Tribolium castaneum: one gene and its partners. The protein of the gene in region 1 interacts with the protein of each later gene in a pairwise test. Links are inferred from orthologs where the notes say so. Each region holds a gene or a part of one and is shown in the gene's direction. Other genes may lie near its edges.

Evidence for each region.
Region 2: the proteins of Ubx (region 1) and apterous a interact in a protein complementation assay, tested with the Drosophila melanogaster proteins (2 studies listed by BioGRID). The link is inferred for Tribolium castaneum from reciprocal best matches to the Drosophila melanogaster genes Ubx and ap.
Region 3: the proteins of Ubx (region 1) and dsh interact in a two-hybrid assay, tested with the Drosophila melanogaster proteins (2 studies listed by BioGRID). The link is inferred for Tribolium castaneum from reciprocal best matches to the Drosophila melanogaster genes Ubx and dsh.
Region 4: the proteins of Ubx (region 1) and catenin delta-2 interact in a two-hybrid assay, tested with the Drosophila melanogaster proteins (2 studies listed by BioGRID). The link is inferred for Tribolium castaneum from reciprocal best matches to the Drosophila melanogaster genes Ubx and p120ctn.
Region 5: the proteins of Ubx (region 1) and noc interact in a two-hybrid assay, tested with the Drosophila melanogaster proteins (2 studies listed by BioGRID, with this or other methods). The link is inferred for Tribolium castaneum from reciprocal best matches to the Drosophila melanogaster genes Ubx and noc.
Region 6: the proteins of Ubx (region 1) and Rpn6 interact in a two-hybrid assay, tested with the Drosophila melanogaster proteins (2 studies listed by BioGRID). The link is inferred for Tribolium castaneum from reciprocal best matches to the Drosophila melanogaster genes Ubx and Rpn6.
Region 7: the proteins of Ubx (region 1) and 14-3-3epsilon interact in a two-hybrid assay, tested with the Drosophila melanogaster proteins (2 studies listed by BioGRID). The link is inferred for Tribolium castaneum from reciprocal best matches to the Drosophila melanogaster genes Ubx and 14-3-3epsilon.

Annotation. Positions count from the first base shown.
Region 1 is NC_087397.1:7,100,678-7,105,622, reverse strand, and holds the start of Ubx (ultrabithorax), read left to right. Parts: upstream 1-1,936; coding exon 1,937-2,573; intron 2,574-4,945. UniProt on the Drosophila melanogaster protein: Sequence-specific transcription factor which is part of a developmental regulatory system that provides cells with specific positional identities on the anterior-posterior axis. Binds the consensus region 5'-TTAAT[GT][GA]-3'.
Region 2 is NC_087394.1:3,057,656-3,062,269, forward strand, and holds the start of apterous a, read left to right. Parts: upstream 1-1,562; 5' UTR 1,563-1,737; coding exon 1,738-1,785; intron 1,786-4,614. UniProt on the Drosophila melanogaster protein: Required for the normal development of the wing and halter imaginal disks.
Region 3 is NC_087401.1:8,569,241-8,573,102, forward strand, and holds part of dsh (segment polarity protein dishevelled homolog DVL-3), read left to right. Parts: intron 1-1,331; coding exon 1,332-1,442; intron 1,443-1,494; coding exon 1,495-1,983; intron 1,984-3,862.
Region 4 is NC_087403.1:4,511,949-4,516,643, forward strand, and holds the start of catenin delta-2, read left to right. Parts: upstream 1-1,453; 5' UTR 1,454-1,741; intron 1,742-2,153; 5' UTR 2,154-2,220; intron 2,221-2,415; 5' UTR 2,416-2,440; coding exon 2,441-2,472; intron 2,473-2,662; coding exon 2,663-2,728; intron 2,729-2,919; coding exon 2,920-2,961; intron 2,962-3,047; coding exon 3,048-4,639; intron 4,640-4,684; coding exon 4,685-4,695. Other genes in the region: AP-1mu (AP-1 complex subunit mu-1), read right to left, coding at 1-188, 235-1,005, 1,052-1,093.
Region 5 is NC_087397.1:7,793,852-7,798,209, forward strand, and holds noc (zinc finger protein Noc), read left to right. Parts: upstream 1-1,426; 5' UTR 1,427-1,577; coding exon 1,578-1,664; intron 1,665-1,721; coding exon 1,722-3,038; 3' UTR 3,039-3,346; downstream 3,347-4,358. UniProt on the Drosophila melanogaster protein: May negatively regulate Notch-induced cell proliferation in the eye-head primordium. Required for development of the supraesophageal ganglion and ocelli.
Region 6 is NC_087395.1:22,742,185-22,746,380, forward strand, and holds Rpn6 (26S proteasome non-ATPase regulatory subunit 11), read left to right. Parts: upstream 1-1,645; 5' UTR 1,646-1,814; coding exon 1,815-2,946; intron 2,947-3,001; coding exon 3,002-3,123; 3' UTR 3,124-3,458; downstream 3,459-4,196. Other genes in the region: uncharacterized protein LOC103314280, read left to right, coding at 33-120; uncharacterized protein LOC103314281, read right to left, coding at 3,462-3,518.
Region 7 is NC_087401.1:11,229,105-11,233,706, reverse strand, and holds the start of 14-3-3epsilon (14-3-3 protein epsilon), read left to right. Parts: upstream 1-1,697; 5' UTR 1,698-1,800; coding exon 1,801-1,864; intron 1,865-4,602. UniProt on the Drosophila melanogaster protein: Positively regulates Ras-mediated pathways. Acts downstream or parallel to Raf, but upstream of nuclear factors in Ras signaling. Three mutants have been isolated, that suppress the rough eye phenotype caused by mutated Ras1 (sev-Ras1 v12).

The DNA of each region.
Region 1 (4,945 bases):
CTCGTAAAAATACAATAAACTTTCGTTCGGCCAAATTCATCCTTATGTCGAGAAGTGTTTGGAAAGTGTCAAGTTCGGCACTTTCAATATGCAAGGAGGTAAGACAGCAATAAAAGTTGATTTTATTACGATTTGAGTGATCGTAAATGTCACCTACGACCATGGCAAAATTATGACACCGCCACTCCATAAAGTGCCAGGAGCGTGCCAATGCCGTAAAATTTTTACTACTGGTTTGTGTAAACTGTAATAATCTGGCCTTTTTCCGTCCCCGCCCTCGGAACCTCAACCATTCAGTAACGACAAGAGGATAAGAGCAAAAGGGATTTATTTAAACACCCGGACGGGCTTTTTCCTATTTTGTTATTGACGACTCATTGTAGTATATACTACCTATTATCAGGATAACATTAAATTATTATTGGTTGTTAATAATTTTACTGTTTACTGAATAGAAATTTATTACATTATTATTTGTTTTTATTTGTTTGAAGAAAATATTTATACATACCTAGATCCTAGATCTACTATTGTTGGGAGATTTTTGTAGTTAGAATAATTCCAGTAGAGACACTTCTATAATTTTTTTGAACTAATTAATCCGTTTGGAATGGGGTACGAGTATTTTTCGATGAGATTTGATTTGGATTAGGTATGTGCACGAAGAAAAAACGGTCCAAAATAATTTAGTTTTATTAGTTTGAATGTTTTTCGGGCAGTAAAATTTACAAAAGCACATTCATTCAAATGCAATTTAAGTTTATTGTATTTTGGGAACACAGAAAAGTAGGTACATTAAGGTAGTATATTAAAACCCTTACTCGAAAATGAGCAACAATTAACTTTAGCTTTGGTTTTTATACCGACATGGTACAGTGTAAGATGAAGTCAAAAAAGCGAGAATGTTTTAATAGGTACCTGAAGCAGTAACAAAGGGCTGAATGCATACCGCTCTTTATACAGCCTAAAAACATTTAAAAAAATGGAGTGTTTCTTTGATTTTAACTTGTTTAGCGGTTGGAGTCTGATTTGTTGCCTAAAAAATCAAGTGCGATGAAAAGTTACAGAACAAGATCTTATCTACCCGTCGTCAATAAATCTTACTGTTTTAGTTGAATATTAATATAAAATTACGTACTGTTTTTAGAAATTGTGAATTTAATTGTTTTAACAAACCAAATAGACATTAAAATTGTGATGCAGAATGCAAAAAAATAATAAATAAAATAAGCTTTCCTTTTTGTACTTTAACGGTGAATATATTGAGGGTTTGGCAGCGGAATCAGAGTATTTTAAATGTAGCGTTTACTTTTCGATGATTTTGTTTATATTGGTGGTGTGATGGTCGTTTTATCTTTTATTGGCAATTGATGTTGCTCGTTTCGGCAAGAGTGTCGTTTTGAAAGGTTGAGCAATTGTCCGAGAGCTGGCGCCACGCGCCTCCCCTCTTCGTCTCGTTGGGGGCCACTTGCGCAATGCTTGAAGGCTGTGACGAATTCAATTGCTATTGGTTCATGTATGATCCCTTCCATTAGAGCGTCTTCGTGTAGAAGCACGTGCTCTAGGGGTTATTACGGCCTTCGCGACCCTTCTGGAGGAAACCTAGCCTTTGGAGAAGCCGGTCAGGCGCTAATTAGGTGCGACCGTGTCCGATCGGCCGACAATACAGGTAGCTGCAATAATGAGCCGCGTGCTCGTCCGGAGTGGGGGGAGAGGGGAGCGATGGGCCGGGATGTGTGGGCCGGAGCAGACTCCGGAGCTCCAGTGGGTTCCCATCCGCGAGCAAAGTAGCCAACGTGTGCATTCCGGAGCGAGCTGCTGTGTGGTGTGCTCGTGCGAGCTCTTATCACCTTATCACTCTCGCTAATAACAATAATAATAATCGTGTGACTGTCATGTCCGGTTCCGGTGTCGAGTGACTTGTGCCGCCCCCAGCATGAACTCTTACTTCGAGCAGAGCGGCTTCTACGGCAGCCACCACCACCAGAGCGGGTCGGTGGCGGGCCACCACCACGAGCAGTCGGCGGCGGCGGCGGCGGCCTACCGCTCCTTCCCGCTGTCGCTCGGCATGTCCCCGTACGCCTCCAGCCAGCACCACCACCACCACCTGCAGGCGCGGCCCCCGCAGGACTCGCCGTACGACGCCTCGGTGGCGGCCGCCTGCAAGCTCTACTCCTCCGAGGGCCAGCAGAACTCCAACTACTCCTCCAACTCGAAGCCGGACTGCTCCAAAGGCAACGCCGACCAGAACGGATACGCCTCGGTGGTGGCGGCGGCCGCGGTCAAGGACGTTTGGCAAAGTGCGACTTCTGGCGGTGGCGCTAATCTCACGAACAGTTTGACGGGGCCGGTCAGGCCGGCGGCATGCACGCCGGACTCCAGGGTTGGCTACGGGTCGGTCGGGCTCGTCGGCGGAGATCCGGCCTCGAGTCCGGGGGCGGCCGCAGGACGGACGGGCAACTCGCTCTCGTGGAATAACCCCTGCAGTATCAACTCGACCTCTTCGCAGCCCGTTGGCACGCAGATACACCAGCAGACCAACCACACGTTTTACCCCTGGATGGCCATTGCAGGTTGGTGATAGGTCTAAGCCTACGGACTCCTGCTGCGGACGCTATTTGCAGGAAACGCGCTAACTCCGGCCGAATCGCACGCCGTTCAAACGTGCACCACACTGTAACATTTCAAAAGCACAAACCAAAAATGTTTCATTCATTGCTGTGACACTAAAAAAATGTCATTTCAAAATACCAAACGTGAAAATAATAGTCGTTTCTAAACACATAGTGCGAATCAAAAGTCAAGAATAAATTTTTTTGGCGGGAGATTTTTTTAAAAATTTCGAGCAAACTGTTTGTTTCCGGGTTTTTATTGTACCTACTTTTTGGACCACCACGGTTCAAGTTACGATTTTATTAACTAGTTATATTTAAAGACAGTATGTTTAGTTACGACTTTTTTTATTTATATCTCCATTAAAAAAATAATAGTTAATAATAATTAATTAAGAAACGAACTTTTTACATAATAAATGTTCTAAATAGTTTTGCCGAAAAACAGATTTTTAGTAAGTTTGTAAACGATTTTTTAACTGAATATCTTTCTAGTCGTCCGGAAAATGATTTATATTAATGATTAAATAAATTATTTATCTGTATCTATTTTTCCTAAATTTCTGGTGGGTATTCTTTGATTCAAAAATAAATTTCTTGGCACAATATGACGAACCGTTTTATTTTATTATTTGTGATTCATCTTCGTCGTCTGCTTCCTCTATTTTCTAAAATTAAAATTTTATATAATTTCAGTCGATAGTAAAGTACGTTAAATTAGTAATTTATTTGGGAATGTTAAAGTTGCCGACGTACAACACCATAAATTTTGTTTATTTTTTCAATGATTTGTCATTCATAATTTGTGCCTTATTTATTGCCGCTGGAACTACTTAATTATCTATTGCAAAATAAAATAAATTTGAATAAACAAAATTTTTTGTGCTAATTGTTGCCCTTTGGCCCGTGCGCGCGATGTCCGCACCTCAAAGTTATGTAAATGTTGAACCTGCAGCGAAGTCAAGTGCGTGTAAAATCAGGGTTGAATTGCCACATCTCTGTCCCTCAGTCGAATTTCTCTGTTCTCGTCCTCGTCGAACAAATCGGGTCCTTGTCAGAGCACGAGGGACGATCAGCTGTTCGCCTATTTGGCCGTCTAGACGCCTTTGAAATGAGCACGTCCTATATTCCCGTAAAAAAATCGTCCGCTTTGACCAAAATAATCCGTGTTTTGAGTTCGGCGTTCGTAATTCTCAAGTCTTGGGTCAATGGAATATAATTTGGTTAAGGTCGTTTCATATTTCGGGAGGACATCGCTAACGAGCCGACAAAAAATTTCGTTCGGTCGTTATTGCGAGACGCTCTATTCATACGCTGGAGAGTAATGAGTTGATGGCGAACTCTAATGTTCAAAGGTATATCTTTTCGAAATTACTACAACGTCGCTGAAGAATTATTGATTGAAGAAGCGGCTGTGGTTTTCACGGGCCGCCGATTGCTTAAATTGTTTTTATTTATAGTTTGATTTATTAGCGCTATTGCCGCCAACGCACGATCTACTACACTTATGTTATCGCGCTATACAGGGAGGACGATTAAAAGCGTGTTCGGAGATGATTCCGACGGATTTTATTTATTAGAGAAACTCGTATGTCAAAGTTCAATCTTCTATAACAACATCATAAATTCGCAAAATTTGCATAAAGCTACAACGTTCTTTTATTTTATTTCATTTTATTAACATAACAGGACGGAAATGGGAAAAGTACCAAAATTTTTCAAATTTTTCCTGACTAAAAAAAATTGGCAACTGTAACATGATCCCATAGTGTTGGGCACGTCACTCAGATGGCGCCCTCATCCACTTTCATAATTTAACCAGAGGGGTCCGTCAGGTACAAGGGGCCGACCCTCGCCTGTTCAAAAAGTGCCATTCAATATGAGCGCTTCCTTATTTTTCGTATAAGACTTTGAGAGCGTTCCACTCTGTATATTTCCTCATTCACATGATAATTCCTTCGTCTACCGCGCCGGAGTCCCGGACTTGTCCCGAATTGTGCCGGACTCAGTCCGGATGAGCGATGACGTATTACCGTGGCCCAGTCAGTTACACCCCCTTTTGTATTTTGCTCGCTACGGACCGCACCAAAAACATTTGCTTGTTTCTTCCACCAAGGTATTAGCGTAGGTCAGGTGTCTCATTCGGGGATGTTTCACTGTTTCTCGTTCGACTGTGACGAAATCGGCACCGATCTGAAACTGATAAACGGCCAAGTGAGAATGATTCATAGGTGGACGAAAATGCACCCGACGGGGGTTGCTTTCGGACGAACGCGCCTTCTTGCCTCCACATGAAACCGCATCGATTTTTGCCGTTTCCGGAAACGGCAGTC
Region 2 (4,614 bases), on another chromosome or scaffold:
ATGGAGTTTTCTATGCCTTTACAATTCTCTTAAGTTGTTAAAAATAAAATAAAATTTAATAAGTTTGTTTTTTTATTTATCCAAGATTTTGTTCGACATAAAAAATATAACTCAAAAAATATTAGAAATATGGCGAATTTCTCAACGGCTGTCGATTCCTCGAATCATTTCACATAGATTTTTATTAAATTTGTTTTGTTGAAAAACATAAAAACAATACAAATTTTTAAAGTGTTACAAGAAATATTATTAAAACTTATACTCTATTTTAAAGTGTTCTTTACGATTAAGTAAAACGTTTTGTTCTAGCTCTTTTTAGATTCGCTGTAATCGGCGTAATATGTAGATAGGTAGTTATAGGCAATTAGCCCCTATAGTTAACTATCCCCGGTCTCCTCTACTTACAACATTGAATTTTTTTTTCAGTATATCGTCTTGAAACATATTTCATTTTACAGTTTTTTAAGCCAGTATTAATGGTACTTATGAAACATTTCAATTTTTGAAATTTTTAGCTAAAATTTGAATTTTTATTTCTACTATAATGACTATAATGGTTTTATACAATTTAATTCATTTCACTTTAAACGAAAGCAAATTGTTTTCAGGTATTTTAGTGTTTTAGTATAAATTCAAAAATATATTTGTATACCAATATTTTTTTGGATAATTTTGACAATGCAGTTCCGTTTCTTTATTGGTTCATAGTAGGTAAGTAACACTATTTACTCCTAATGTCTTTCTTATCATTGTCTAAGTGTTTTTATGTTCTTATTATGCTTAGATAAAGATAACAAAATTTATTGGAGACACTCAGTCTACTTTAGTAGCGTTCCAAAAAGATAAACCAATTTTTGGAATAAATTTGTTTTTTACTTTATTTAATTAGACTTGAAAGCTTCATCTGTCTTCTAGCCGACCTATCATAACAATTTTTCATTTTTTCCATCATTTACGTATGTACCAACCTGTAACACCTTTATCTTCCACTTGGATGTCTTACAAACCCGCTTTATCGCATATCAAAATGATTAAGTGCATTCTCCATAAAATGTGATATGTAAACCACCGCTGACAACTGCTATCTCACCAGAACAAAACCTCCAATTACCGCCAACGCGATAAAACTAACAAAGTCGTAAAAATCCCTACAACTCCATTCATGAAACCGCAAACAAATGAACTCATCATCAGGCTTGCTCGCGCTATAATTACCACTCCACCCCCACCCTCGTGACAATCGCATCCCTTGCATTTGTCTCCAACATAAACAAATACGAAGGCTTCGCTTATAGGACAGCACCTCCCTTCCACTCCCCGCTAACCCCACCCTTTACCCTAAGGCGGGGCTTAAACTTTTCGCCTTCTCACATGCGCAAGAGACCAGCCGCCTGCGATCCGTCTGAGTGCGCGGACGCTCAAAACAAGTGTGTAACGCTATTACACACGCACTCTTGGACGTTGTAATATAGTGATGTAAATCGAGTGACATGCGCAGCGATTTTTTTACACAAGTGTTTGTTTACGGCACTAAGTCGGTACCGGGTGTGCGGGAACTATTCAATTACCAGTGACGTAGCGAGTGATGTGACATTGTTTTAAATTTTTTTTTTTGGTTGATGTGACAGTGGCCACAGTGTTGGGTTAAGGGTTGTGTCTGTGGGGGTTGTTGAAGGCGCAGTGACGGAAGAAGCTTCGGAAAAGTACGAAACGTCACCGGGTCTGCCGTCACTGCAGATGGGAGTGTTTGAAGAAAGAGCTTCTCACACGCCCGGGATGCATTGGGTAAGTGGCGGTAGGCCCTGGAAGCCCAAAGCACACCCGACGGATCTTTTCCTCAGTTTTATGTTTACTTTTTTGACTTTCTTATTACCTCCATTTATTCTATATTTGTTGAACCGGTCTCGAAGAGTGAGTTTTTCATTCATGAAATGAAATTGTTTCTCGTTAAGACGTACCTACAATTACAACCTCATTAAATCTAGTCGTCCATGCTCGAACAAAAACTATTTTGACATTTGGATCAAAAAACATAGCCTGCTCTGGACAAATTAGGAATGCTGCCATTTATGGAGCGTAAATGAGCCAACTTCGATTTTAATATTTATGTCATATGTGATGGGATTTTTAACCAGCGGTTGAGGAAGCAGGCCATGGACGAATCGAATCAAAAATTGTAGTTTTTTTGCAAAAAAGTCGGGTATTAAGTAGCCAAATTGACTCTATTATTATCAGGTAGAAGGTCGCCATTAATTACCGAAAGTTATGGGTTTGTGATGGTACGGATGGGATTAAAGACAGTTGAAGGTCGATGGTGGGATATTCCGAAACCAAGAACCTCAAATCATTTGTTTTACTATACATATTTTTTTTATTAAATTTCCGGTCAGGCACTGCCAACTTAAACCAGAAGTCACAGGTCACTTTGATAAGAAACTATGATGAACACCCTGTATACCTAACTAGGTACTACATTTTTTGGAATTGAAATTGGTATGTCACAAGAACAAAACAATTTTTTTTTCCTAAAAACAGACAAAAAAATTAATTTCAAAATGTTAAGTAGTCAAAACAAAAACAATTTTTTTATTATTGATTGGTTTGTAACTTTGGAAGTTAGCAACATTGTGAAAATTGGACAAATGTCATACATTTTTAATAGTCACAGGCTACTATGATTAGGAGTTAATTGAACACTCTGTATACTTATAGTTTTTGAATAATTAAAAAAGTTGTCAGAGTGAGAAAGTTTGTTCATCAATTAAAATAACTTTTCTCTCTTAAAAAGAACAAGTTAATATTAAGTTACAAAATTAAAATATTCAGTCAGAGAAAATAGGCCAGGTTTCACCTTAAGAAACATAAGCTGGCGTTTGTTATTCAAGAACAAGTAAAGAATTAATTTTTTTAAATAATTATCTGCTAATTCTCAGAAAAAATTTACAAAATTTAAACTGTCACGGGTTACTTTGATCGAAAACATTTTTTGCTTTTTTCCAAGAAAAATGTGAATAAACGAGAAATAGCTTTAAAAATTGTCCCACCTTAAGCAACAAAAATACCGTTTTCCATCTAACAAATAACAGGATTAATTTTTACTATTAATAAAATCAAACAATTTAATTTTTTTACTATTATTTTATTGACTAACCCATAAATTATTTTTATGAGTACTTAAAATTAACCGTAATTGACTTAAACGTCGATAAAATATGGAATTAAGATTTTTATTGCAAATTAGAATATTTTAAATATCTTGATTTTTGGAATTGTACGAGTAGTTAATGTTGTTGTATATTTGAGGCAAGCTTTGCCTGGCAAACACCCCAGTGAGAGTGAACATGTCCTCTCTATGGGAGGGTTGGTCATTGTCTGGCATTAGAAAGCAAATTTGTCAAGATTTAGCATTCTGCCTTTTGTGTGTTTCTTTTGTGGCCAAAGAAGGTGAAATAATCTTCTTTAAGAAGAATTTTTATTTATCTTCAATTGACACTGGTTTTGCCTGTTTTCGCTCCGAATTCTTGTACTTCTAAACCAGCAAATGCACGAACTAATAAGGCTATAATTTAAATATAAGTCGAAATTAGCGTAACACCGCCTGATTCATATAATTCACACAGCCATCGTTCTAATAAATATTTATAAGTTTAAGCTGTTTTTGATAAAACGTACTATTTAAACAGTTTATGTAATAGCTTAATCGGGTGTTATTTGGCGTAGAAATCTTTTGTGTGAATCACTCTAATTAATTTTAATAAATAAATAAAAAAGCAAAAGTCAATTAATCCAAATTAGCATCGGCCCTAGAAGGTGGTAACGGTGAAAAAATGCAAATCATGCATGACATATGGCGCTGAAACGTGAAATTTGACAGTTGCGTCACTCTCCATATCTCCAGCAGTCGTAGAACAGGAAATTTATTCGAATTTAAAACACCGAAAAAAGCTTTTGATGAGAAACACTAAACCGCCGGCTACTGAATTTTAATTTCCATCAAGTATCTCCGTTTTAGTGGCCATAAAGCGGACGTCTCCGAAAATAATTAACATCCACTGTCATAACTAATTTGTCGCCATTTCCAGCGTGGGAAAGCGGAATCATAATTAAAAGTGTTATTTCGAAAATTTGTCAATGATTTTGTAGGGGGTGTTTTTTTGAACCACCCTCGTATATACCACAACAAAACGAGTTTTCTGTCATAGGGGGTTTTAATTTTTTTTAAACAAACAAAATGCCGGTACATATTTTAGTAAATAAACCATTGTATTCCCCGACGAATATTTTTCACTGTAATGTAGTGATTTGAGTTTTTTTGATAGTGAATTTGTTGGTTTTGCTGCTGAAATAAATTTTTTTGATGATTTGTTTGAATTCGCGAATGTCGGAAAATTGGTTGGAACGCTGCTGCATTGTGGAGCAAGGCGGCTGTGAGGAGTGATAGCGTTGTTTGTTTTACTCGTCTGGGGTCACCGCGATCTGTCTGTTGGAGATACTCTCTTTCGGGGTCAAGTTTTCAACTCTATGGACACCCTGTCTCTGCGATTAACATATTAGTCAAGATAAAGGCAGATTTGTTACTAAGTGAGCTGGGGGACAGGGACGGATTCAAGGCCG
Region 3 (3,862 bases), on another chromosome or scaffold:
CTGTAATTTTTCTATTAAGTGAGACAGGCCAACAAAAACCATTAGATTTATTATCATTTGTAGAGGAATTTTTGTGATTCAAATTATGCAACAACATTTTGAATCAACCTCTATTACTGTTTCCCAAAGGATTCATGTTTTTTTTACAATAAGTACTTATTTATTTCGTTTTATTTCATATGTAAAATAAAAATAACTACTAATAAACACTTTTCAATTTACCGCTTATAGTGCAATTTGTTATATCCGGACCCCACTGTATTTAAAATTAGTATACAGGGTACGTAATCGATTTATAACTTTTCGTTATAAAAAAGACCAATTTTTGAAAAATTGCTGCGAAGTCGCTTATGAATATTTACCGAAAAATTTGCAACAGAAAAACTCAGAATACCCTGTAGTTTTAGCAATAGTCGACTTTTACTTGAAACATGTAGATAATGTACAGGGTGTGCCGAAACGCAGAACGTTGAATAACTAATTTTTTTAATGGAACACCATGTATTTCATTACACGTATCGATAGCATTTTTCATAAGCTTTCTAATGATATGCGGCTTGAATAGCAAATTTGAAATATTTCTTAAAGTGTTTTTTTCTCTTTTTTTATTTATTTTATTATTAATTCTTGATGAGTAAAATTCATTTATTTATCAAGTACTAATTAGGTTACTAATATAATTGGTTACATTTATACATATCAAAAAATAAATTATCATTTGACTTAGATTCTAGGATAACAAATTTTCTTGTAATAAAATCTTTTTTTTTAAATCTCGAGAAATATTTTAAATTTGCTATGCAAACCTTATACTGTTAGAAAGCTTATCAAAAATGCTATCAATACATGAAAAAAATACAGGAAGTTCCATTTGAAAAAAAGATTTATTCAACTTTTTGCGTTTGGCACACTCTGTATATTATCTGCATGTTTTAACTAAAAGTCGTCTCTTTGCTAAAACTACAAGGTATTCTGAATTTTTCTGTTGCAAATTTGCCGGAAAATATTCATAAGCGACTTTGCATTGATTTTTGAGAAATTGGTCTTTTTTATAACGAAAAGTTAAATAATTCCAGAACGAAAAAATAGACTCATAATAGTTTATATAAAGTTACAGTATTTTTTTGCGTAGATTTCAATTATAAAAATTATATAGAGTGTTCCATTTAAAAAAAATATAACTTTGGTTCACTACCCTGTATACAACAGCCTGTGCATAATAAAAATATTTTTAGTTTGTGGATTTTAACCAGTGATAGACGTTAATAAACGTATTATAAACGCAAAGTAAATATAAAAACTAATAAAAAACATTTTTCATATTTTTTTAGGGGCGTGGGTGGCGCACACGGCGGCTGTGCGCGGCGACCCGGTGGCGCGGCCCCCGAGTAGTTCGACCGTTTCGAGTACTTCTATCACGAGTACAATTCCGGCAAACGAACGTATGTTTTACAGGTGTCTGTAATTTTTTTTTAATTTTTTTTGTAATTGAAGGTTTCCCCGATTTGGAAGAGCCCCTGACGGTGAATACGCCCATGGCGACGGTGGTTCAAGCCATGCAACGGCCCGATAGCGGTTTAGAAATCCGCGATCGTATGTGGTTGAAAATAACAATACCGAATGCGTTTATCGGTACAGATATGATCGATTGGTTGTTGACGCATGTTGACGGCTTTCAGGAGCGTCGCGACGCTCGTAAATACGCGTCACATTTACTCAAAGCCGGATTTATAAGACATACAGTGAATAAAATAACGTTTTCGGAACAATGTTATTATATTTTCGGAGATTTGTGTTCGGCGATGAATAATTTGAAAATACAAGGGGATACGGATTCGGTTGGACCTTTGCCAAATGTACCGAATTATATGCCGTATAGTGGGACGTATAATCCGTTGGAATACATGCCAATGCCGTTTTATACGGCTAGCGAAAATACGGTCTATGGGTATAATCGGGAGGAGTCTGTACTCAGCGGAAGCGGTAAGTCATTATTTTTAAAACAGGAATCTACTTCATTTACTTACGAACAGATTGTAAAAAAATACAAAATATTTATCAATTTGCTAACGCTAACGGAATACTTCGAATTTAGATGACCTTAATTACAGGAAACTGTAATTTACGTAATTTTTTTCAAAAACTTTACCTACAATTAGTTAAAAAAATAAACACTAAAAATTCATAAAATAAAATGGTTTTGGCAGGTTTGTCATATAGTAATGCAAGAATTTCGGTAAAAACAAACTGAGAAACCGTCAAATTGAATAGATTTCTTTTTCCAATGTTTAGGCGTTTACGCATATTTTTACCAGATTTCAGTTAAACTGTCCCAAAAACCACCAAGTTAGCTTTTTCTTCTTCTAGTATTTTATACCTGTTTTAAGTTTTAAAAACAACTGATAATTATTTTTATCTTTTGGGTTTAATCAGAACAAATATGAATTTTAATAAAATTGCAACGATTAAATCCAAACATTTAATTACTAATAAGGAAAGTAAGAAGCAAACAAAAGATAGCAAAAAAAATTGCAAATCTGATATTTTTTCCTCAAGATTCTATATTTGTTTATTTCTGAATCACGTTCAATAGTTACGCTCACTAAATAAACAAAATACCCAAAAAAACATTTGAACTTGTTACAGATGTAACTACCGACCGAAGAATCACCAAATTTTGTCAAAAGTATTGTCGTTTTTACATTTTTGAATTGTTTAAGTATATTTTCAGGAAAAACAAGGCGAAAAACTGCCAAATTGTTTTAAAAATACAGATGGTTCTTACTTTTTCAGCTTTTGTATAAGTCTTAAGAAAACAAGGTTTTGTTGTTTGTCTTTATTTGTTCTCGTATAATAGGCGGAGTACTTTGCGACAGATTTATTTTGAATTCAGACAAATTTTAGTGAAAGAAAACTGTAATTTTCTCTAACTTCTTGTCCAAACTTAATTATTTATTATTTAACGTAATTTGGAGGCATGTCAGAGATTGTCGACTAAGCTCTTTTAGCCTATTTTACTTTAAATTAATAAAAATATAAAACATTAAAAAAGCCGAGAATTAAGAAATTTGTTAAAAATATAGTTCTTTTTTTTTTCGAATATTTTGACAGTCCAAACACAATGTATTTTCCGAAATTTGGTTAAGGACAAACTGCTTAGTCCAGCATTTAAGCACATTTTTGAGCTAAAAGAACTCATCAAAAGGTCGGAAATGAGAAAAAGCCTTTTTGGAGTACTTTAGATCCGTTTTTCAGCATAATTTCGTCAAAATTGAGCCAAAAAGGTGTATTTTGGTGCGATAACTATTTTAGTCTCGGAAGTGCAAAAAATAGCGTATATACCTTGGGACCAAAGTGCCTAATTCCCTTCTGCTAGCGGAATTAAATGCTGCACTTTAGACCCTTCAGTATAGTATAGAGGTGTCCCAGCGAGTTGGTAAAGTCCATTATTCACTTCTAAATATTGGAAAAGTAAATTTTTTTTTCTTAAACCGTAGATACTAATCCTCTGCCACATCTAAAATTATTTTCAAATATACAGGATGTTTCTGAAATGAGCTATAATACAAACTTAGGTTTTTTTAAATGGAAGACCCTATATTTTTTCATTTTTAATTGTAGCTTTTAAAGCTAATGATTGTGATTTTTTTGTAAGGTTGGTTACAAATTTTAAAAATTTGGCAATTTTGACTATTACATTTATTTGTCAATGTTACCATTAGATTTTTTTGCTTCACTCATTAAAAGTCACCCGGTTTTTAAATATTTTCTGAAAATTTATTACTCAACAACTAAGACGTTTAGAAAAGTGGGACTCTCACCACTTTAGACTAGAATGTTCAAACATTAAGAATGTATTTTT
Region 4 (4,695 bases), on another chromosome or scaffold:
GCGTATTTGACGCTCCCGATCGTAGTTTTGAACTTGGGCGAGTCCGCGTCGTGGGGCACCGGAATGACGATTTCGACGTTGTTGGCCGTCGAGCGGCGCTTGAACTGCGACTTCGCCTTGATCATGTACTCGACACGGCTGTGTGCGTGCCGTTCGATGACAGATTCGATCCAAATTAGCGGCTTCACCTAGAGAAAATGATCATTTTGGGGAGTTAAATCGATTGTTACGAACATGTGTGTTCAAACGGTAGGACATGAGTTCGAATTCGCCGTCCGGCGGGATGAAGGATATGGTCCTGTCGATTTCAAACCGCGATAGTCTGACACATTGGTGGAATTTGACGTCCTCTAGCTCGACCGATTTTGATTTTCCGCGACCGGTGCTTTCGAATAATACTTTATCGTTCAGACCCAGACGCAGTTCAGGCATGCCGGAGAGATAGACCCTCATTTTGATGGCCCCCACGATCTCGCTGCGTAGGACGTTACCGTTCGCGTTAGCTAAGAGATTGACGGACTCTATCACGTCTAAAAATACTTCGTTTTTCCTATACTTGATGCCTTCCGAACGCCACGAAACCGCATTAGTTACAGCAACGGGAATGCGTGGCTGTATTTCCAACTTGTGGCCCTCTTGTGTGATATACTCTTGTAAAATCTTACTGTCAGTGGTTTGGGGGTAACCGAAATCGAGCAATTCGTCCAGTAGTTCATAAATAACGACGAAGTTGTCCCTAATACTCTCCTCCTCAAGCTCCTTGAAATACTCAGTCATGACTTGCACAATCTTGTGCAAGAAAACGAAAACTAGCGCAATGTTGGCGTTCTTCTTGGTGGTGCTCACAATGTACAGGTTGTTTGTCTTGATGTAGGCAAAGGTGCAATCGCCAGTTTGGAGCAGAGGGGTGAGCAGCCCCTCCTCCTCCTTTTCCATAAGTAAAGGCATGAACTTCTCTATCACCCCCAAGTCTATATCGCCCCGATAGTTCCGTGAAATAAGGACCTAAAACGCAATTGTCCGACCACTGTGGCACCTTCTACACCCTCACCTTGCCCTTAACGTCGAGAATGTAAATAGCTGACGACGACATTATTAGTGTGGAGGATGATTAGTGCCAGAAAATTCTTCAATCGGGCCGTCAGATCGCAATCATGTCTAACGAGACGTTAGATTTGTTAAAATTGAATAAAACACGATTTTGAGCCACTAACCACCGTCATCACATTTCTTGGTTACGCTACAACCTGTCATTAAAGCGGTTGGTGTACCTGTAGCGCGCTATTCAAACCGCGATTTTAAATTGATTAATTTTGCAAATTTCGGTGATTGTTAGCGCCGTACGAGCCTTGTCCCGTCCTAGTGGCCCACAAGCGATGCTTTGGACCTGTTTTTGGTCGCTGTGGGCGCCCCAAACCCTTCGTTATCGCTCAACTCCTATGCAAGTTTCGATTAAAGCTGCAGTTACCCAGCATGCATCATGAGTGGGAGTGATGTCTGACTGGTGCCGTAAGCGAAGTCGTCTGTTCATTGTTAAAAGCGCAAATTAAGGGGAGTTTTGGCCCGGATTAGTTCTCAAACTAAGTTTGGCTCATTTTTTGCATCGGACTCAGTCAAGAAATGTGACGAAAGGGTCATTTTTGCGGCGAACGAGTGACAGTAGTGGCGGCTCTCTGGTGACGTATTCTCCATTGTACCTCTTGTGTGCCTCGACCTTATAGACTCTAGGAAAACATGAAAGGTACGTCGGAGGTGTTTTGCGCCGGAAATAACCGCATTTACGGATAAAGTACATGAGATAAGGTGGCCCCAAGTCCCGTGAGTCAATTTGCGGAAACATGCATTTGCGGCTTTTAGGTCGCCACTTTACTACAAACCATGGAATGTAAACACTCTAGCCCCGCCCCACCACATAACTATTGTCATTTATAAATCAATTCCTTATTTTCCTTTAAATCGTTTCGGAATATATCCTTCAGAACCTCATTTGTGAGCAGTTTCGACTATTACGGACACCAAAAAAATTAAGTAAAAATTGGGAGGTGCGACGTTAGGATTTTTCCCACGAATTGTATGGTGCGATTTAAAGAGAAATCAAAAATGAAGTACTACATCGCAAATTTCTCGTTTTAATTATTGCTGCTTTCTTTCAGAATGCAACCTAATGGCTAAGAGAAAAGCACAGTGTTTAATATTGAACAGATTTTAATAATTCGAGAGGTATGTGCTTGGTCTTTATTTGGTTATATTGTATCACTTTTCACTTTAACCCACTAACATAACATCTCGTGTCAAAGCGCACTAGAATTATGTTTGTTTCAATGTTTGTGATTTTATTTTGAAATGAATATAATTCGAATCGTTCGATTTCATTTAGTTGCTTATGTCTAATGTCTGTTTGCATGTATGTCACAGGAAAAAATAAGTAACAGCTTTCATCATGTCTGGTAATCAGCTTATGGATTCTTGTCTGTAAGTAGCGTACAAACCGACTAATCATTTACTTGTACTTATCATTTACTGGAATGTAGTGTTTCAAACAACTGATAAAACATCTTGACTAATTTTCCAATAAACATTAGTGTTTTTTATTGACTTAGTTTTTGCACGACATTAAAATGTTATCGCTTCGCTAAAACATTGATTGCTTTTACACTGGCAGCCTGGTGAATCGTCGAGTGGAGCAAAGACAAGAGCACAGCATCACACATACTGAAATCACGCAAAGGTAGGGGGTTCATTCACATCTTGCTTATTCTATTTGCAACTGAATCGCTCATCTTTCGGGATTTTTATTAATCATCACTTAATTATGTCTACCACAAATGCGCTTGGCCCAAATTCTCTTAGGGCCAGTTTTTGTGGTGGTTTAAACGTGTCAAAAGTGTCATTCATCATGCTCATTTTTATTGTTTCTAGGCGAGTATTGCAAGAGAAGGTCCCCGAAATGCAGCATTATAAGTAAGTTGGCTGCATGCGGTTTTGAGAGTATTCTAATGTTTTAGATATCGGTAACGTTCTTATAATTGTGTCTGGTTTGTGTGCAGGGGTTCGGACGCCTCAAGTTCTGTAAACGAAGGAGTCTATCATACGCATAGCAATGGCCATTCAGAACATTCACCAAATTCGAGCCATATGTCTGTTCATAGTGACGAGCCTTTAGTACGCACACATAAGCAACAAACCACTCAGCAAGTGACCACTGTGACCAAAGTCGTACGCGAGGTGCAACAGCTCGGAGAAGCTCAACCGGGAGAGTACATCCCAGTGCCCTTGGGCTCGTACCCCCATTCCGGGCACCCCAGGAGTCAGTACGTTGATTATATGGAACAGCCGGCCCACCATATGTATTCGCAATATCACCAACACCCACACTATCAAGACTACGAGCACTACCCTAACCCGTATGGGGCGTATATGGGGTACCCCCCGGGGGCCGAGCGCCCCCCGACGCCCCCTAGTCCGAGCGAGCACAGCGGCGCGCCCTCCCCCATACCGATAAGTGCACAGCCAGGAGTTCAATATTTGAGCTCCGGCTATGACGAATTGCCTGAACATTTTAGGGTGACTCCGTCGCCTGGGGGTCCAATCGTAGGCTTAGATCCGTACCAGGACGACCCTGGAGTCGTCTACGGGTACGTCTCACCTTCACCCTACGGCACCGCCCCTGTACACCAAGGACCAACTTACGACTCACGTCCATATGAAGATAGTCTAAACGGTCCAGTACCGGTCGGAGCCCCCATGCGAATGTTCGAGGACGAAGAATTACAAAAACATATGAGCAAAATGTCCCTACATGGACATAGTATGGCCCTGCCACACAACCGGGCCCATAATATGGCGTCCCCGGGCAGTGTAGGTGGAGACGACGACCAGAGGGGCATGCGTTGGCGCGATCCGAATCTGACTGAAGTCATTGGTTTCCTTAATAATCCTAATAATGTTATCAAAGCTAATGCAGCGGCCTATCTTCAACATCTCTGTTATATGGATGACCCCAATAAACAAAAGACTAGAGCTCTCGGCGGCATACCTCCCCTTGTTAAACTATTAAGTCACGAAAGCGTAGAAGTTTATAGAAATGCATGCGGCGCATTGAGAAACCTTTCGTACGGAAGACAAAACGACGAAAACAAAAGAGCTATTAAAAATTCCGGGGGAATCCCCGCCTTAATTAACCTTCTAAGAAGATCCAACGAAGCCGAAATCAAAGAACTCGTCACGGGAGTTATATGGAATATGAGCTCATGCGAAGACCTCAAACGTAATATAATCGACGATGGGATTAGTACTGTCGTCACCTACATAATAATCCCACATTCGGGATGGGACCCGCAAGGAAACCACGGGGAAACTTGCTGGTCCACAGTATTCAGAAACGCTTCAGGTGTGCTTCGAAATGTTAGTTCGGCTGGTGAATACGCGAGGAAGAGATTAAGGGAATGTGAAGGACTGGTTGATGCGTTGTTGTTTGTTGTACGCTGTGCCATAGACAAATCTAACATAGGCAATAAAATCGTCGAGAATTGCGTCTGTATCTTGCGCAACCTATCCTACCGTTGCCAGGAAGTCGAAGACCCCAATTACGATAAGAATCCTCTACCAACCCAAAGTAGGATCGCCGCGAATTCGAAAGGTGTGTATCTTCGCGTATTGAAACTCCTCTAACTGAAAATTCTAGGCGAGAATCTT
Region 5 (4,358 bases), about 690 kb from region 1:
ACCATCATTAACGATAACCATCGCGCCTGCCACAGTCCTCTCCAAAGACAAATGAAGGTGCGAGCTGACAGCGAGCCCATTTAGTCGGGAAGTCGTAATTATAAGGCGTGGTGGTAGAAAAAGGTGATGGGGCATCGTCTAAGCACCGTTAACCAAACAAGGATGAAGGCGGCTTGTCCGATTCGACTTTTTTAATGTTTCAGGAGATTGGTTATTAAGATTTCAGTTTAATTAATAACCAACACCTTCCTACTAGAATAAATAACCTTCTTCACTATTTTATTGTCAGACTTTTTCAACATGCCTATCCACATTATTACCAAAATTACAAAACCAAAAAATATTTAATAGCACCCAACGACCACTTTAGTAGTTTATTATCGTAAATAACAAGTTTGGTACAACATTTAGGCCCACAACAACGCAATCACCGAAGGTGGAAGGTGGAAGGTGGATCGCTACTTTTTTTGTTACTCGATTTTGTCTTCAAGAAGACAGTATATGCTCTACTAGGCAACCAAGTTCGATCTAAAAAAGACAATTACCTACATATTGGTCTCACCTAATTTCAGCTTATTTGTTTTTTGCTTTTTTAGTTATGTGTGTCGAAAACTGACGGGTTTCCAAATTGATATTTATCGAACTTGTTAAATCTCGTGTTATGTCGAAATTGTTAAGCGAAGGAAGAACAACAATCTGTCAGGTGTTGTTAATTAATTATACGTCGGGTTTTTATCGAAAGGAAATAAAACACCATTTAAATTAATTAAAAAAATATATTTACGACTCGTTATAAAGGAGGCAAACATCCATTCAAATGAGATATTATTTTTAAATTATGTAGCTAATTAACAGTGATTTCTAATGGGTTTGCTACGACTATTATTAATAGAAGCCGACGTGTTTATCGGCAAATCTGTCAGGTCGATGATGAAAGGCGTGAAATGATTTATGACGTTATTAGGTAATATCCTTGGTGAGAATTCGATTGTTCTCAAAAGGCGTCTCCTAATTAGCCCCTGAGATTTTAACGTTTTCTCCAACTAGTGTTTGCGATAGCATCAAGCATAGATAAAATGTATCTTGACAAGTTTATAAAAGTTATGACAGCTGGAGTAGACGGAACCATAAAATAAATAAAGCTCAACCGTATTTTACGACCGACAGGTTGTAATAACTTCGCAGTGAACTGCGCCACCATCCATCCGTCATCATTGTGCTTTTGGTTTGTTGTTCATTTCCCGTATTTCGTTCGCTACTGCCTGTTTAAGGGCGGCTAACATCAAAGCATCCAGAAGGTCTGTCGTCGTCACCAACTTCATGGGTGGTAGAAACCGACAGGCCAGAAACGTGGCTGTATTAGCGCTTTGTCATGCTAGGACTTTCAGCAGGGCTGCAAAGCCTGGAGGGGCTGCCAAACCTGCGCAATAGCCTCTCGTTTAGAGAGCGGAGCTCTGTTGCCTTCAGACTTTCATACTGGAGTTGTCCGTCGTGTGAAAGCTAGTTTGCGCTCGTGTTCCGTCAGTTTATTAATCGTGTAATTGTTTTTATCCGCCGTAAACGTGCATTTATTCCAAATGGTTGTGTTGGAGGGTGGAGGCATGCTGTCAACGTCCGGAAATCAATATTTGCAGCCGGATTACCTATCACCGTTACCCACTACGGTAAGAGCGCTATTTGCTAACACTGAATCCTTGGTTGAATGCAAATTTATTTTTCAGTTGGATGCTAAGAAAAGTCCGTTGGCACTCCTCGCCCAAACATGCAGTCAAATAGGAGCAGACACTCCATCGTCCAAGCCTTTGATTTCTCCATTGGAGAAACCAAAGAAGTCGCAAGAGAATTCGACGCGTTCGCCTCCGGTAAAAAACGATAAGAGTGCTCAAAGAAACACACCGACTGAAAATAAGCTCGCTTTTAAACCATATGAAAATAATGTTGTTACGAAAAAAAGCGAAGACAACCGGCCTAACTCTAAATCAGGATCCACTCATCAAAATTCGACACCAAGTGACGAGAAGAAATCAGAAACGCAAAGTCCTGAACGGAAGTCAGTGTCACCAGCAACCAGCACCGCTGCGACACCGGCCCCCGAAACAGGGAAAACTTCTCCAGGTTCGAGTGAAAACAAATCTTCAACTCCGTCGGCTCGTGGTGCAAGCCCCATCATCAGATCCGGTCTGGAAATTCTGCAAGGACATCCGAAGGATACACCTTTGGGGGCGTACAAACACGGTGCTTTATCGTCCGGGTTATCGTCAGGACTGAACGGCCCTTTGGGATCGCTGTGTTGTCCTCCCGGACTCGAACACACGAATCCGGCTTTTAGGCCCCCGTTTCCCGGAGCTCCGTTTTCGCACCACCATGCCGCCATGCTCGCTGCCGGCTATCCGGGAGCCACTCCGGGACCGTACTTGAGTTACGCGCGTGTCAAAACTCCATCAGGTGGTGAAGCTTTAGTTCCAGTGTGTAAAGACCCTTATTGCACCAGTTGCCAATTCAGCATGCACAATCAGCAGTTGTTGATGAGTGGAGCATCTGGCCCTTGTCCCAGTGGCTGCACGCAATGCGACCACCAGAAGTATAATTTGGCCATGGCGATGTCGTTAGTGCCCCCGGGTCCCGTGCCGCCGTCGTCACTTGCTTACCCTCAGCTGGGACGGCCATATGTGTGTAATTGGATAGCGGGGGACACCTACTGCGGGAAGAGGTTCGTCACATCTGAAGAACTGTTGCAACATTTGAGAACACACACGAGTGGGTCTGACGGGTCGGCGGCGGTGACGTCCTCGGCATCGCCTTTACTTAACCCCCATTCGTTGTTCTCGTCGGCGGCGTCGCTCCATAGGCCTGGGTACCCCAATCCTCCACTTAGCCCGTTATCGGCAGCGAGGTATCACCCGTATGGGAAACCCACTCTACCTACCTCTTTGGGAGCTTCGCCATACAGTGCTTTTAATCCGACGGCTCTTGGAGCTTATTACTCTCCGTATTCCGTTTACGGACAACGGCTTGGCGCTGCTGCTGTGCATCCATAGTGATACTTGTAGTAATTTTTCTCATGTTTTGACTCATACAGAATGGCGTCTGTATCGGTCTGTTTGCTCCACTGTGATAACGTGTAAATAATTTTGTCGAAGCTAAAGCTGATTAAAATTAAGTGCAATCTGAAGCGGACTTAATCATAGGGCAATAAGTTATAAAACAGTCCATTTTCTTTCTAAGTTGTTCTCCCGTTTCAACGATACTTTAATCTTTAAATAATTCAATAAAAATATTTGTATAGACTTGTAAGTATTTAATGTTGAGTTTCGATATTGCTTTAATAAAATGTTTGTAGAACGATTGTTGTTATTTTATTTCATTCTCGTGGGGGGAGGAGTAGGGCGCAGGTGAATTGACGGTGCTGGCAGATGGGTGTGAAAGCCGCAATGATGGATTGCCGGCAAGTGACCTTCCCTTGGCATCTCCAATCTCTTGTGTATGATGGATCACCTGAGCACGTCACGAGCTCATTCATCATCGTGTCTTGAGGGTGACGGGCTTGCACGCCACTGCCTACTAATTGAAACCCGTACATTTCGAAATATACCACTTTCTATCAATAAATACATTATCGTCGTCTCCACAAGTTTGTTTTTGTACAGATAACAAACCGTAAAACGTTCATCAAATGACTATATTTCTTTCAAGTGAATCCGTTAACACAGAGGACGTGTTGCTAGACGGTATTGCTTGAGAGATTTACACTGTAACAGGTGTCACTTAAATGAACGAGTTGTTGGAATCGAAACAAACTTAGAAGTGGCAGCGGCCAAATTTTTATAGCACGGAGAAGGATGATCCAATGCCTGTCTGACGAATTGAATGCTAAGAGATTATTATTACTCCGTGTAACTGATTGACAATGGCAGTTCATACTTGTTCTGGGACTTGTGCCAAATGAGCAAAGTGAGTGACAAGATCTGTTGGCATTTGGCTGAAGGAGGTGGCGCTTGTCCAAAATAAACTGTTGGTATTTTTTCAAATAAATCATGTTTCAGAAACTTATTTTTCATTAAATTATAAATGTTATAAATCCGCGCTTTAGCTCTATTTTCAAGTGCGCATAAAACTGTTTGCGGTAAAGAAAGTTTAAAAAATCGCCCGAAACGACTTTAGTCATAAAATAAAATACGGCTAGAATGATTTATAGCTAGTATTATGGTAGGTATAGTTTATTGATGTTTAATTTATGACTTTATTTTATGAATATTTCGATTCTGAAAATTTTCCTGGCCTCTAAAATTAATTTTTCGAACATAAATAGGCTCCAAATAAAAATTTTACAATGTTTTTGAAATAAATTTCATTTACAT
Region 6 (4,196 bases), on another chromosome or scaffold:
TTTTGAATTGTAAACAATATCTCTTTGTTTAGATTAGATATCGGTAGATTGGCTACCAATTTAGCGGCGAGGTTTCGAGCGGCGTCAGAAGACGAGGTGAGACAGTCAAGCGAGGCATGATCTGGTGCTGTACAAATTTTAGGAATTGCTCAATACTGACTTAAATTTAGTGTTTTTATACGTGCTTGTCATAATTTTTAGAAATAAAGTATTTTTAGTATAGAAGTGGATTTATTTATCACATTACACACATAATTATCCCAATCAAGACTATGCATTTTGCTTTTGAAATCTTAGAACACAATAAAGGCACCTGACAGACCCAGGATTTTGTGTTTTCAAAAGTTTTTAAGCACATTTTTCGCTAAATCGGGGCGAAAAATTGCATTGCTCTAGCATTTTAAACTGTTCTAGCAGGTTTCTTCGTTCAAAAAAGCCTTATTTCGAGAAACCATATGAAAAATACCTAAATCAGGTGTAAAATGGTTATTTCAGCATTTACTTCTTATAAGGTTTTTGAACTAAATCATAATGAACTCTTGTAAATTAGGTCTTTAGTCCTTTTTATAGTTTCAGCTCGTTTTTCCGCCAGAGACGCAATTATTTCGTGAAGTTTCGTAAAAAATAAGCCGAACGTCACAAAGATATGAGTCGAATTTAAATTATATAATTCTAGCATTTTTCGATAGCTTAAGCGCGTTATACAACAAGACTTCGTTAAGCCTGACCAAAAATCACCAAATCAAATCGGAAGTTGTCTTGTTTTAGCCTTTTTCAAGAGTTTATTAACTTTTACGGAAACTGAACTTACTTAAAAGTCATTGCATTAGATAATGATTGTTGTTTTTTTCCAAAGTTATAGCGAGTTTTTCAACCAAAGACGCATTAAATTTTACGAAAAATGAGCCAATAAAATACCTACGACACTTATTCGAAAAACAGTTTGAATTACAAATCCAATTATTTAACAAAATTTTGCCAAAAATAAAGCAAAAATACCAAATAAGTTCGGAAATGGTATTTTTTTGCTTTTGCTTTTCCTTATTTTGAGCTTGTGAGTATTGAAAGAGGAAAAACGGTCTATAATCGTGTCTTTCTTCCCTAGTTAGACAATTAGTTATTCTGTTTAACTCTTTGTTTGTTTAAAAATTTGTTTTATGAACTGCTACTTGGTGGCCTCGTAAATTTAGGAGACAATATGAACTGTAACTGGGGTAGGATTGTAAAAGATTTCGTTGAGATATTTGAATGCATCAGTTTTTGTCAATTTTATTGCGAGACTGTAAAAAGGTTTGTTAGAAAATTACTATCTTTTAATAAATCACGCGTTTGGATTGCGTTTAAATAAAAAGACCTTTTAAATAAAAAACTTGGCTTTATTTATTAACAAAAAAATAATAATTATCAATCAAAATTTCAAGAATTTTATTTCATTAGAAGTCGTGGTTTTCTGGATACGCGATAAAGTTGCCGGAACTGGTATTTGTACAGTATTACATAAAACTTTACCAAGAAGTTATTTCATCCGGTTGTGAATTTTAAATAATGGAAAATGCCGCTGTTAGTTATGCAATCAACTATACAACAAACAATTGTTGGCACAAAAAGTCGCTTGGAAACAAGTTGGTTTCAGTAAGAATTTTCAAAATTGGTGTTTGCAAGTCAGACTGTCACTTTGGGGCCTCTGGGGTGCAAAATGCGTTCAAAATTGCGTGAAACAGTGAATATTTGACACGGTGTTGTGACTTTAGCCACCGCCGTCTATTTTCGCGGACATGTCTGTTTGAATGACAGTGCTTTTCTAGACAACTAATATGGCGGGTGCAATGTTGTTTGAAAGAGCGCAATCTGTTCCAAATTCGAACCACGAGAAACTCCTGAAACTGAAACGTGCCAGCGAAGACCCCGACAATGACGAAGAAAATATCAAAAGTAAAGAACAAGACATCCTCAACCTGGGCGAGCAGTACAAGAAGGAAGGTAAGGCCAAGGAACTCGCCGAGCTGATCAAAGCCACCCGACCCTTCCTGAGCATGATAAGCAAGGCGAAGGCGGCGAAACTGGTGCGCTCCCTCGTCGACTTCTTCCTCGACCTGGAGGCGGGCATCGGGATCGAGGTGCAGCTGTGCAAGGAGTGCATCGAGTGGGCCAAGGAGGAGCGCAGGACCTTCCTGCGACAGAGCCTCGAGGCGCGCCTCATCGCCCTCTACTTCGACACCGGGATGTTCACGGAGGCCCTCCAGCTCGGCTCCACGCTCCTCAAGGAGCTGAAGAAGCTCGACGACAAGAACCTCCTCGTGGAGGTGCAGCTCCTGGAGAGCAAGACATATCACGCCCTCAGCAACCTGCCCAAGGCGCGCGCGGCCCTCACCTCGGCCAGGACGACGGCCAACGCGATCTACTGCCCCCCCAAGATGCAGGCCGCCTTGGACCTCCAGTCGGGCATCCTGCACGCGGCCGACGAGAAGGACTTCAAGACCGCCTACTCGTACTTCTACGAGGCCTTCGAGGGCTTCGACAGCGTGGAGTCCCCCAAGGCGCTGACCGCGCTCAAGTACATGCTCTTGTCCAAGATCATGCTCAATAACCCGGAGGACGTGCAGCAGATCGTCAGCGGGAAGCTGGCGATCAAGTACGCAGGGAAGGACATCGATGCCATGAAGGCCGTCGCACAAGCCTCACACAAAAGGTCGCTCGCCGACTTCCAGCAGGCCGTCAAACAGTTCAAACACGAGCTCGAGGACGACGTCATCGTCAGAGCACATCTCGGGACGTTATACGACAATATGCTCGAACAGAACCTCTGCCGGATTATTGAGCCTTATTCGCGAGTCCAGGTCGATTACGTCGCCAAAACGATAAAGCTGCCCATGCCACAGGTCGAGAAGAAGCTGTCGCAGATGATTCTAGACGCCAAATTTCACGGCATCTTGGACCAAGGAGAAGGTAAACAAAACTGCAATTTGTCAAACCCACTCACTGTTTATTCTCTGACTTTTAGGTGTCTTAATTGTTTTCGAAGAAACTCCTGTAGATAAAACATATGAAATGGCGCTAGAAACAATACAAAGTATGAGCAAAGTAGTAGATACGCTTTATCAAAAGGCTAAAAAGTTGTCATAGGCTATTTGTAATTATTATTTAAAAAAATGAAAAATAAAGTAAAACAGACTGTATTTTTCCTACATTCGAAAATTCTACCATATACTCCGTGTTATTAACAGTCCCCTCCCAACTAACTCTTAGGTGTACATAACAAATCTTATTAACATTGTTCAAGGTTGGGTTTTTAACTGCTTTTATAAAAAATTCCAAAAAAATGCATTTTTCGATCATTTGTACAATTGTGTGTTTTTTGGACGGAAAATAAAACAATAAGTTTTTCATTCGAGTTGTATTTTGATAATTATGCTTAAACAATGTAAAAAGGCCACAATAAAATGTTATTTATAGTAAGAGTCTTAAGTTTGTTTTTTCCTCGGTTTTTTCCTCCGCTTCTTCCCTCTTATTTTTAGCGCCTGAAATACAATGTCATTTAGGACAAAACCTATGCATAATTTGGCAAACGACTGACTCATTGCGCTCTCCTTGCCTAAAACAATGACCCGATATCGATAAACAAAGGAACCGCGTCACGTGGGGTACGATGAAAACTACTACACCAGCAACAATAATCCATTCAATTAAAACAACGTAAAATTAGAGCAAAACATACGCAGAATATTAAGTGCATAAATCAGCAAGGTTGGCTTATTTTTAAACATGTGTGGGAGAAATCGGCAAATTTTTAAATAAGCAGCCAATGGACACAAAGAGTTAATGCGAAATAGCCGCGACATCGGTTAAGCGCAGCTTGAATTAAATTGTTTTTTCAGAATCGTTCACAAAATGCCAAGGAAAATGTGCTATAAAACTTTACGATGTGATTGTAATTATCCAGTGAATAAAAAATAAGGAAAATTATTTCAAACCTTAATGATAAACTCAAGCAAAAATTACGTGCACTCATTTTCCAGCCTTGTGTTCAACTCGTCATGAAAATGATTTTTCCATTCACGGACGTGTTAATTATCCCATGTCTTAAAATGGAAAAAAATCCCATCACGTTGCTAACGTTTTTCATCGCTTATTGTGTCAATATGTGTTACACACTTTATATTTTCATCAATATTAACGTTCCTATTTTGAATTTTCGG
Region 7 (4,602 bases), on another chromosome or scaffold:
TGTTGTATATATTGTATCAATCAATGCTTTGCCCGATGTAGAATTCAATAAATTTTCTAATGCATCCAAGTGTTTTATTTCGAGTGTCAAAGCTCGCAAGGTGTGAATGAGAGCGTCTGATTGGCCCAATTTGGTCAGGTGATCAGGCATTTAATCGCGGATTAATGAGTTATTGATGCTTCCATAAACCCACCCTTTAACCTTGTAAACTTATGACCTTATGAGGTAACAGAACTACTATGGAGAACTTTTTATAATTTTTTTATGGCAAGACTTATTTTTTTGTTTTTGCCAATTTTAGCGCATTCTAATAAATTTTGAAGAACTAAGCTCAGAGCACAGATTAATTTTTTTACAGAGAATTTAATAATGTTATCAGCGATTTTTTTAACATTCGTTTAGCTGTAATAACAGTTTTATTTTTTAAATTGGAATCATAGGAGGCTGTGATATTTTTGAAGTTTATTTTTTCTGATTTGATATGTCTATTTGTGTAACACATTATTTTTACATATTAAAAAATAACAAGATTTCGCTTTTTCTTTACAGTAATGTCGGAAAAAAAATCTTATTAATTGTATGATTGCCTGTCAATATATAATATAATAAATTTTATTTATTTATTATTATTTTATTTTACAAAAAAATCTCAATCCAAACACCAAAATTAAATCTCATCTGCGGTAAAAAAATACTACATTGCACTTCACTAAGTCATCAAATGGTAGTGACACATTGTTTTCAATTTTTTTGCTTTTTTATGTATTAAATTCTGCAACGATCGTATTATTTGTTCAATTGGAAATAACTTAAACATAGATTATTTTCATAATTTCACATTTTTTTACTTTAATAACCGTTCACAAAATTTCTAGATTATTCACACCTTTTATGTGAAATAATTTTTCCATGGCCAACTGCTTTCAAATATTTTAAATATATTTTTTATCAAAAATATATAAAAATATCAAACTGTATTTATATTATTTTCAGTTTAAAAAAAAATAAGCTTTTCGAAAATGTCATAGCCAACTATGATTTCTATTTAAAGAAATACAACTTTATGTTATTACAGCTAAACGATTTATTAAAAAAATTCACTGATACCATAATTAAATTCTCTATAAAAAAAAGCCATATAACGTCTTTGTTTCAAATGTCTATATTTTATAATAAGGAAGATATAAATTTTTTAACATTTGGCCAAAATATCAACTTTTGTTTATAAGTCGAAAACAAAAAACTATAGCGAGATGCGGTTTTGACCAAAATTATTTTCTCAAAAAGCGGACCGGAAAATGTGTCTTGTTTTTCTCTAAACCTTTTAGTTTCGGAAATCCCCTATTTGTGCATAAATTTTTTATCTGTATTTTTAAGTGGCCTAAATTGTTATTTTTGCTCTACTTCTGTATAAACACACTCAGTTAACACCAAAGTAGCCGTAAAGCGTCTTCTAATCAGTGATTAAAATTTAAACTGGCATTAGTTCGTAAATCTGAGCATCTGATTGGTCCAATTCCCCTGATCTGGAAACGACGCTTCTAAAAACAGTCCCTTATTGTCAATCGAATGCTGTCCATTAGGACGCATAATTTAATTATTGTGGCATGCAGTGTGTGAAAGATAAGCAGGATTAAATAATTATTTATTCAATTTGGCGCCATTGTGACGTGGGCCGGAGGCAGCCGATGTGCGTCCGATCGCGTTCGGGTTTAGTGTGGCGGGCGCGGCCATATTGGCAGTACGTTGAGTGTCTGTGTTTTTTAGTGTTGTGAAATTTCTATCGATAATCATCGCAAAATGTCTGAACGGGAGGATAACGTCTACAAGGCGAAATTGGCAGAACAGGCCGAACGTTACGATGGTGCGTATATTTCCCCCCGATTCGGCCTCCTCCCGGCCCAAACGGCCATCATCTCGGGACGCTCCTCCATTTTCCGCCGCGGGGGTGCCCCGCGCCCGGGCGGCGGCGGGGCTGCGCCCCCGTGTGCATTCCGCGCGGGTGACTCATCGATCGGCGCCCGGCCCCGCAGCCCCCGCCGGAAAAAAGCCAAATGTCAGAATTTTCGCGACACCGGCCCACTGCCTATTGCGTAACTTCCGGTTTTGCACGTGCGTCACGTGATGGGGGTGGCGGATTCTGCCCCCGACCTTGTCCCATTTGCGGCGGAATTTTACGCTGCATTTTTAAAACGGGATTGATTTTTGAGGGCGGCCTGCACAGGGGTCGGGGGTGGCAGCGCGACGGCGGCGGCGAATGCCAATCGATAATCGCAGAGAAGAATGAGGATTTACCGAAATTACCAACAAAAGATGCACGTCGGGGGCGGGTAACTTGACTGCGAAATTTAGGGGGTTTGGGGGGTAAACATTTTATTGAATTATTTGTTCGCTCACGAAACGGCGAGACGTAAAAACGGGAGAGTTCTTGCCTAAATTTTTCATCGCGTCAATTTTTAATACAAACGGTGAATTTTTTACGTTTTACGTTACACAGTTGGCATTTAAAAATCACTAATAAGTACAGTCAGAAGGAGTGAAATTGTCGATACAATGGCCTACTTGTTTTAAAATTTAAATGCAACTAAAGTTATTCAATTTTTAATTTTACAAAATAGAAAGTAAACAAAGTCGATGGTGTTATCACAAACAAACACAAACTGTTGACAGTTTCGTATGTCGTCAAGTCCTTGAACTTAAATTATTGCAACGACGAAATTAGTTTTTTTACTTTGTCAACAGTTAACAAAAAATGCGTCAAAAATGTCACCGGCTTTTACATTCAACATTTGTGAAATATTAATTAAGCCGGAAATGTACCAACATTGCGTTTGGCTGGTGATTCATCCACCTCACCATTTTTGTCGAAGTTGATAGATATCGAAAAAATGTGACAAGTTGCCATGTTTGGACAATTTTATTGCATTTGATTGTACATTGTTTTATAACAGGTTGGATTAGTTTGGACAGTTTTATAGATGTAATTTAATTCCCGGTAATTCACCGAGAAACGATAATTCATTTTTATCAACTGATCGATTCTCTTATCAATAAGGGAAGACTGAGTTGAATGTCCTGTTTAAATTTCAAGTTTGTGTTATGCTCGATGAGTAATCAAATAACGTGATGTAAATGATGAGAAAGTACAAAACGCATTTTAATGAACAAATGTGTTACGAAAGCGAAAAATTCTATTGAAAATTGAAACACCGATTAATAAACGCCTTTGCTCACTGGAAACCAGCCTTCGTTTTTTGAGAAAATAATTTTAAATCTCAACAGAAGTTGACATTTTAGCGAAATCTTAAAAAAATCATATCTTCCTTATTATAAAAGATACACATTTGAAAAAAATACATTATACAGGCACTTTTTTTCAGAGAATCTAATAATGTTATCAGCGATTTTTTTCAACCATTCGTTTAACTGTAATAACATAAAGTTATATTTTTTTTAAATAGGAATCATAGTTGGCAATGACATTTTCGAAAAGCTTATTTTTTTCTGATTTAATGTCTATTTGTGTCATACGTTAAATTTAAATAATTAAGAAAAAACAAAACATTTCGCTTTTTCTTTATAGTTGGCCATGAAAAAATTTTGGATTTGTAATTAAAACTATGAAAATTGTATTACCTAACAGTAATTATAATTTGATGATTTTTTAAACCCTAATTAATTCAAAAACAGCATAATAAATTTTTATTAGATCAAATTTTTGCAATTAATAAAAATTATTTGTTTTTATATAAAATGGCAAGCTTACGTTGTATTTCTACATATTTTCAAATTTTAAACATGCAATGACGGAAGAAGAAAAATCTTATGATTGCGCATCAATAAAATTTTATTTTACAAAAAAATGACAATTCAAACTCCAAAATCAAATTCCACCTGCAGTAAAAAAATATACAACATTATCAATGTCACCTCCATTGCACTTTACTAAATCATAAAAAAGTGACATCAAATGGTAGTGACATATCGTTTGCTATTTTCTGTACATTTTTTATGTAATTAAAATCTGCGACGCTCGTATATTTATTCAATTGAAAATAACTTTAACATAGCTTATTTTGATAATTTCACATTTTTTACTTTAAAAACCGTTCACAAACTTTCTAGATTATTCACACCTTTTATGTGAAATAATTTTTCCATGGCCAACTACTTTAAAAAATTTAAATTTTTTTTATCAAAAATATATAAAAATATCTCACTATATTTATGTTGTTTTGAGTTCAGAAAACAATAAGACAAATAGACATATCAAATCAGAAAAAAATAAGCTTTTCAAAAATGTCATAGTCAACTATGATTCTCATTTAAAAAAAATACAACTTTATGTTATTACAGCTAAACGAATGATTAAAAAAAATTGCTGATAACATTATTAAATTCTTTGGCAAAAAGTGCCTGTATAATGTCTTTGTTTTAAATGTGTATCTTTTATAATAAGGAAGATGTTTTTTTTTTAAGATTTCACTAAAATGTCAACTTTTGTTTATAAGTCGAAAACAAAAGACGATAGCGAAATGCGGTTTTGACCAAAATGATTCTCTCAAAAAAAGGACCCGAGAATGTGTCACGCGTTTTTCTCTA